Sus scrofa: one gene and its partner. The protein of the gene in region 2 purifies or fractionates together with the protein of the main gene of each other region. This does not show direct contact. Links are inferred from orthologs where the notes say so. Each region holds a gene or a part of one and is shown on either strand. Other genes may lie near its edges.

Region 1 (4,045 bases), on a different chromosome or scaffold from region 2:
CGCTGTGAACAGTCACGCACAAGCTTTGTTTTTTTTTTTTTTTCTTCTTAGGGCGATACCCACAGCATATGGAGGTTCCCAGGCTAGTGGCTGAATAGGAGCCACAGCAATGCAGGATCTGAGCCATGCCTGTGACCTACACCACAGCTCACGGCAACACCGGATCCTTAACCCACTGAGCAAGGCCAGGGATCGAACCCACAACCTCATGGATCCTAGTCGGATTCTTTTCCGCTGTGCCGCAAGGGGAACTCCTAGAGTGAAATTCTTTATTTTTTAATCCAAAAAAATTTTATGGCCACACCTGTGGCACATGGAAGTTCCTGGGCCAGGGACTGAATCTGAGCCACAGCTGTGAGCTGCAGCAGTGCGGGATCTTTCGCCCATTGTGCCAGTTTGGGGATCAAACCCATTCCTCCCCAGAGACCCAAGCAGCTGCAATCAGATTCTTAACCCCCTGTGGGAACTCCAACAGTGAAATTCATGAGCTTGTTTTTGAGAACTTCTCCCGACTAAATGAAATATGGAATTACTTACTAAGTTGTCCAACCTCCCTGCCAGAGAGCTGTCACCCTACATCCTAGGTGCCACAAGTAATGTTGCCAATCTAATGGGTGAAGAGGGTATATTTTGCTTTACTTTCTATTTTGCAGAATAAAATTGTATCTTCACAACTGTTCACACCTTTTCATAACCTATCCATTCTGTAAACAACCCAAAGTCACTTCCTCCTACAGGCTCCCCCGGACCCTCTTCCTGGGCCCTCCTGGGTGCCCCACCTGGCCTGACCCCGACTCTTCCCAGGGTGGGCGGCTCACAGCCAGTGCTGCCGTCGTCTCTGGGGCTAGAGGACGACATGCAGGCCGACCCCCTTTCTGCAGCGGCCTTGAGAGCCGCGCTGTCACCTGCAAGACTTGCCCAGGGAACGGGGCAGACGCGAGGGGCGGGGACAGAGCTGCGCTGGAGTCCCCGCCTCGCCGCCTGCAACCAAGCCTCACCTCGCTGCCCCTGCGCCCCGACCCAGGTAATTCCAAGTTCCTGCCACCGCCTCATTTCACCGTCCCTACCCTCGCGCCCTGCCTCGTCTCCCCGCCCCTCACCCGCGCCCCCACTCACCACCTTCCCCACAAGAAACCCGGCGCCCGCCCCCACCTCACCATCCCCCGGCCCCGCCCCCGGCGCGGGAACGGAAGTCCCGTCTACCCGGCCGCTCCGAGCGCCGATTGGTGGATCTTGTCTCACTGCGCCCTCGTCACGCCCCCTCCGTGGGGAGGGCGCCTTTCCGGGGGGCCGCACTGTACGCGCCCGGGTCTCTGCGGAAGCTGCGGCCGCAGCTTTCTAGGAGGTTCAGCCCTGCCATAGTCACCCGCGTCACCTCACAACGGGGACCGCCACCGTCCCGCTCAGTCCGCGGAAGTAAGGGGGTGTATGCAAACAACCTGGAGGTCCAAGCTTCTGATTGGTGAGCGTATAGGGGGCAAGATGGGCGGGCTTAGAGGGCCATGAGCGACGTGTAGGTGGTCCAGTAGCTCTGGGAGGATCGGCTGCGGTGGCCAATGGCGAAGCGGAGGGGGCGTGTTAGGGCCCAGGAGCTGCGGGGGCAGTGGGCAGGTTTGCCGGTGAGTCTCGGATGCTCTGCGGGAATCGGCGGGGGGTGGGGGGCGTAATGCTGACGGACAGGCAGGCGGATCAGAGGGTCCCGGAAAGCGAGAGGCGAGGGGCCAATGGCAACAGCGTGAAGGCGGGGCGGGGCGACTGGAGTCTTCGCAGAACTGAGTGGGAAGCGATGGAGGCGGGGCAGCTTTGATGGACGTGCTCACGGGCCAGTGGCCGCGCGGGAGGCGGCGTGCGACGTACAGCAGCAGCGTAGGGGCGGGGCAATGATGGGGAGGAACGACCCGAGGTCTCGCAGCGCTGTATGGGAAGCTGGGGGGGCGGGGGCAGGGGCGCTAGCAGTGCTGACGGATATGCGCAGCGGCCAATGGCCGCGGGAAGGGTGCGGCGGACGACCAATGGTGGCGCGCGGGGCGGGGCGGGGTGGCGGGGCTGCTCGGCGCCGTGCGGGAAGCTGCGGGGCGGCGGCGGCGGCGCTGAGGCGAGGCGAAGGGAAGCGAAGCGGGGGCGGTGGAGCAGGTGCGGGCGGAGCGGCCTTGCCGTCCGCCGGCCTCGCTCACCCGCGCCCGCGCACGCAGGTCGGTCGGAGGCCTCCGCCAGCGGGCTCCGCGGCGCCGTGGGCATGCGGGTGCGGCCCGCGCGCGCGTGAGCGAAGATGGGGACGCAGGGCAGCCCAGTCAAGAGCTACGACTACCTGCTCAAGTTCCTGCTGGTGGGCGACAGCGACGTGGGCAAGGGCGAGATCCTGGAGAGCCTGCAGGACGGCGCAGCCGAGTCTCCGTACGCCTACAGCAACGGTAAGGCCGGCCGGCGGGCCGCCGCGCGCACCTGGCTCCGCCCGGCGACCTGCCGTCCGCCTCGCGTCTCGGGCCGGGGCGGGGGAGCTGCGGCTCGAGCTTGTCGAGGCCCTTCTGGGGCCCGCGGCGTCGTGGGGGCAGAGATCTGGCCGAGGGACTCCTGAGGAAGAAGGGCTTTTTCTTTGGTCGCGGGGCCTCACCAGGTGTGCCAGGTGTGCACAGCTGGGCGTCCTCAAAGCAGGCCGTTGGCTCAAGGCATCCCTTCCTTGGGCTGGACGAAAACGCCCGATCCGGACGGGGTTAAACGTTCTTTCCACGTTTCTGGCCGTGCAGCCAAAACACACAAGAGCTACAGGTCTCTGGCACCAGTGTGAGGTCCTCTCTTTTCTCGCAGTTGACGTGGGTCCCCCGGGGGGCCGTCGGGCTCCTGGAAGGGCCGTCTTTGCGAGGAGTTTTACTCCTTGGAGTCCGGTCTTCCGCCTCCTCTGTAGCTTTGTCGCTCAGAGTCTGGTCAGTCCTGCCTGACTGCTGTGAGCCTTCGCTGCTTGCTGAATTCCTGGGCTCTGGCCGCCAGCGTGTGGCCAGTGCTTCTTGACCCTTTCTCCCCTTAGGACGCGTCAGAGTCGTCGGCTTACCTGGGCCGGCCCTGCGCCCTTCCTGCTAAGCACGGAGCGAGGGGCAGGGGTCTGGAGGGCCCAGCCCACCGGAGCGCTGGGTGGTGTTGTAGGGAGGGCGAGGAAGTGTGAGGCCCCCAAGGGTGTGAGAGGGAGGCCTTGGGGGGCTGAGTCGGTCCCTTGCCCGCCACAGTCAAGCGGTCCTCTGGAGTCAGACGGGGGGTGGGCGCCTGAGCTGCTTTCCCAGAGATGGGGATGCTTTGAAGGGGGGCTGGGCTCCATCAGGGCCTCAGCGGCTTCCCAGGACGAGGACTCCTGGGTCTGAGCTGCCTCCAGCCGGGCGCAGCGAGGCAGCTGGAGCGAGTGGCCCGGCCTCCTGTCCCTGCTCTCGGGGGCAGTGTGCTGCCGCTCTTCTCGTGACGTGTTGAGTCCCGCCCGAGGAGAAGCACGGTGGTCCAGCGGGAGGGCCAGCTGCCAGAAGTGTGCGGAAGCCCCTGGGCTGGCAGGGCGGCGAGGGTCCTGGAGGTTACGATGTGTGGCACATGCAGTCAGGGCGTCAGCTCGGAGGCTCCGGGGCCAGTGCCCTTTCTCAGGGCGAGGTGGGTGGGTCTGAGGGTACTTCATTCTGCTGCCCTGAAGGCTTCCTAACTGGAGCAGTTAGTTCTCAGCGTTCGGCGCATCTCGAATTTGCTTTGTGTTTTTGGGGAGCTTTTGATCTCTGATTCCCTTGTGGCAGATGCGTGTATCTTTTTCTTTCCTTGTTAAGAGTCAGTACATCTCCGAGCTTCTTGTGCTTGGCTTAACCTTTCGGGGTCAGTCTGGCCAGGAGCAGATGACCAGTGGCAGGGAGGTCCCTTCCCATTGAAGGGCGTGTATCCAACACCCTTCCTTGGGCCAGGCAAGTTATTTCTCGCATTGAAGTCTTGCCTCACCTGTTCCGCAGCAGGTACCTGGGACACCTGACTCTCCCCAGCCTCGTAGACACAGGAGTCGTTGCATGGCCTTTTATCGTGTCGGCAC
Region 2 (3,955 bases):
GCAAGGCCAGGGATCGAACCTCATGGTTCCTAGTCAGATTCGTTAACCACTGAGCCACAACGGGAACTCCAGCTCTCGCTCTTTATACCTCTACAGTACTAGCAAACCTATTCCCCTTTTCCTTGTCAGTGCTTGCTCACTGTGTCATTTGCTCCTTTCAGAATGAAGGGGGTGGGGGTGGGGAAGAGTGGAAACAAGGAAGTGTTAACTACATCAGAATGGGTGGACAGGTAAATCTTAGATCAAGAAGTCATAAAAATTTTGAAATAACCTACAATGGAAAAGAATCTGAAAAAAAAAGTGTGTGTGTGTGTGTATTTGAATCACTTTGCTGTACACCTGAAACACTTTTAATCAACTACAATAAATTTTTTTAAAAAAGAAGTCATAACAAATCATTTAGATGTATGAGATGAATTCTGAATTCCAAATATTAAGGAAGTGGGATTAGATAGGCTCTTTGTAGAATCTAAAAATCTCTGAATTATGCTTATAGCTTTGATTTAATTATTTAAAAAAAAAACAACTGACCTAAATGTATAAAAATTCCTAAAGTTTCAGATAAAAGAAAACATTTTTCCTTTGGTGATATTCCTAATATCTAAAACAGCACATTTCTAAGGAGTACAATAACAGTAACACCTTTAAGAATGACGCTACCCTAAGGATTGGCAAGTCTATAAAACTTCCTTCTGCCGTCACCTGACCACTAAGTGGATTTTAACACCTTATAATCAAAATATAGAGGTCTAGTCCAGAATACTTTCCTGAATCCAAAGTACAGCTGTTGTAAATCTGCAACATTAATCCACAGTAGCGGAATACTTGCTATAATTAGAAAGTTAATGTGCCTGTTAAGTCATTTAGAGCCCATACTTTGACCAGGAAGGTTTATTTGCTGCCAAATTTCAACCATTATTTAAAACTCTGCATTTCTATTTACAAATTTAAAATTTTTCCCTGGGGAGAAGAAGAAAATAACCTTTCAGAAAAACCTCTTTTTTTAATCACTTAGGGGATAAAATTTTTAACAAAGTTTTTTCTCATAAAAGAACAAAAATTGTTTGGATAAGTCAAAAATGCCACTCAAAGCAGAAATTATGATTTCAGTTTTTAAGTAAGGAGTAGGGTAAGGGGGCTGTATTGCAGGCCAATAAACAAGGTATTTTTAAAACCTAATATGCAAAACACGTGGATCATGTCTGAAATAAAATTCTTTTAAAAGTAAAAAAATAAATATATGATATCTCATTGTTGTAAATCTGCTTTTAAAATGAGTCCTTATTTTATGAATAAAAAACAAGAAAACATACTACAGAGAGGGTAAATGAAGAAACCTCTTGATTCTGGCAGTTCTGAATTTTCATTCCTCAAGAAGGGAGAGTGATTTTTTTTTTTTTTTTAGATTTTATTTTTTCTTTTATAGTTGATTTGGTTCCTAGTCGGATTCATTTCTGCTGCGCCACGAAGGGAACTCCTTATAGTTGATTTGAGAGCAATTTTTGAGTTATTTTCTCCAAAACTCTGATTTTTCGGTTTAAGATGTAAAAGCTTTCAAACTATAGAAACCTCGGTTTCATTTAAGATGCTCTCACAGTGATTTTAAATGCCCTATTAAAAAAAATAAGGATGCATTTAAACAGCATCTCTTTTTCAAGGTGTTCTGAGATCTTAGAACAGAAACCATATAAAATATAACAGGATGAAGCTGTCCCGAAAGGTTTCACTTGGTCCAATATTTTTAAAAAAATTTATAGAAAGAAGTGACTTATTTGTAAAAGAAAATTCTCCACAAAGGCCTATCAGGACACTGTCTTCTCCAGGAAATGGCATCCTTTGATAGCGTAGGGCCAGGAATGAGATTAAAATTTATGTTTCTGAATAAAGGGCTTAACATTCTTCTTCAAGACAAGCTACTGCCATCTGACCAGTCTTGAATCATCCAAGTTTTAAAGCCAGCAGAACAGTAGCTAATCCCGAAAGGCAACAGCTAGGGACACTTCTTTCCTGCGCCTCTCCGGAACAAGACTAAGAGTCATTACTGTGGAAGATGACTCCAGAGCATCACTCTGGTGTGTGAAAAGAAGCATTAAAACGACCCGCTGACTCAGGGCCTTGACCGTGACCTCTACAGTTTGCTTTTAGAAAAGGGTGGCGAGGTTGGGCCCACAAACCAAAGTGGTGCCTCGCAGCTCCCATCAACTCACCTACTTTTATTGTCTTGACCACACCCATCACTACCTGAAATTACCTTTTTAACTGCCCTGCTTTCCACCTGTTTCGTTCCCCAGACTACCAGTCCCCGTCGCCGGCCGCAGCCCTCCGACTAGCAGCAGCACGGGCGTGGCCCCAGTCTTTCGCTCCCAGGCAGGGCGACCCCGCCCCTATACCTCCAGGAACAGTCTCTCCGAGGCTCGGTGTGTCCCACGGGCCGGAGCTGGGCCCGCGGAGGCCGCAGCACAGCCAGGGTCTCGAGTGCAGCGCTTACCCATCACCTGGACCCTGCAGATGGCGCACGTATCGCACTCCACGTCCCAGCTCCACATGGCCACCGCGTTCCACTTCTTCAGAGAGAACATCTTGTCGCCTCCCGACTTGGTTCCTGAGCTACCGGAGTGAGAGGACAGGGCGCAGGGCTCCTCGCCGTCTTCCACGTCTGCCATGGCGGCGGCGCGAAGCCGGCGGCGGAGACGTTAGGTTGCGGAAGGCGGGCGACTATGGCGGCTCCCTGGGGCCCCTCGCCGGGCCACAGCGCCGCCCGCAGGCTGCGGGCCACCGTGGGGCCTACGACGGAGGCCGCCCGAGACTGGCTGGCGCGTCCCAGTGACGTCACCGCCCCCGCGCCCTGGGCCCGGCCCGCTCCGACTCTTTGGCCAAGAATGGGCGCCGCGCTCAGGAGGGTTGCCGGTGCAGGAAGCAGGTGTTCTGCTTTATGCCTTCGTGACCCTTCTGGCTCTCACAAGTTGTCATATTGATGTACTCCCTTCCTAAATGAAAACGCCATCGGAGCGAGGACGTGACTTGATCACCACCTTCTCCTGGGTATGTGAAAAATGCCTGGCCTCAGGAGGGGTAGTTATTTGTTGAGTGAATGAATGACTATCTTTTAGAAATCTGGTTCAGCCGTTCTCAAACTTTTTGGTCTTGGCACCCCTTTACACTTAAGAATCACTGGAACATTAAAGAACTTTCGGTTTGTAAAATATGTGTACACACAAACACACACTTTTTTTTTAAGAAATACGAAAAAAATTTTAATGTATTCACTTAAAAAATAACCATAGGAGTTCCTGTTGTGGTTAAGCGATGAGGAACCCGACTAGTATCTAGTATACATGAGAATGCAGGTTCAATCCCTGGCCTTGCTCAGTGGATCGGTGTTGTTGTGAGCTGTGGTGTAGGCTGGTAGCTGTATCCGATTCAGCCCCTAGCCTGGGAACTTCCATATGCCACAGGTGTGCCCCCACCCCCCGCCCCCGCAAGGAAAAGCAATAAACCCATTACAAGTAATCATTAGAACAAGGATATCACATATCTTGTAGCTTTTATAAAACTCCACTGTATACTCACAGGAGAAAGTGAAGAGAAATAGCGGTGAATATTGTTATGCAAATACTTTTGACCTTGTTTCCCCTGAAAGGATCCCAGGAACCCCCGGGGACCACACTCTGAGAACCTCTATCTAGTCCAACATCCTCCTTTTATTGATAGGAATGTTGAGGTCCAGAAAAATAAGATAAAGACACACCATTATTCCCTAAAGGTAACTGTTTTGAATCCAGGGTTCTTCTGCATCTAGCCCGGGGTCATATTATTATGTTTTCCCAAGCAAAGCAGATAACATCTCTATTTAAATAAGAAAGCTGTGGTATGGAGAGCCCACGAAGATGCCTGATCACCACTACCACCTAGTGGTGGACACCTGCTGTGTCGGGTTTGGAATTCAGAGCCTCCC

Evidence for each region. The genes of interacting proteins can lie anywhere in the genome.
Region 1: the proteins of RNF7 (region 2) and RAB40C purify together in Homo sapiens (co-immunoprecipitation; 4 studies listed by BioGRID and IntAct, with this or other methods). This does not show direct contact. The link is inferred for Sus scrofa from reciprocal best matches to the Homo sapiens genes RNF7 and RAB40C.

The regions. Positions count from the first base shown.
Region 1 is NC_010445.4:41,157,291-41,161,335, reverse strand, and holds the start of RAB40C (ras-related protein Rab-40C), read left to right. Parts: upstream 1-1,239; 5' UTR 1,240-1,428; coding exon of another isoform or gene 1,429-1,462; intron 1,463-1,502; exon of another isoform or gene 1,503-1,619; intron 1,620-2,192; 5' UTR 2,193-2,269; coding exon 2,270-2,411; intron 2,412-4,045. UniProt on the Homo sapiens protein: RAB40C small GTPase acts as substrate-recognition component of the ECS(RAB40C) E3 ubiquitin ligase complex which mediates the ubiquitination and subsequent proteasomal degradation of target proteins.
Region 2 is NC_010455.5:82,547,328-82,551,282, reverse strand, and holds the start of RNF7 (RING-box protein 2), read right to left. Parts: upstream 2,809-3,955; 5' UTR 2,664-2,808; coding exon 2,489-2,663; intron 1-2,488. UniProt on the Homo sapiens protein: Catalytic component of multiple cullin-5-RING E3 ubiquitin-protein ligase complexes (ECS complexes), which mediate the ubiquitination and subsequent proteasomal degradation of target proteins.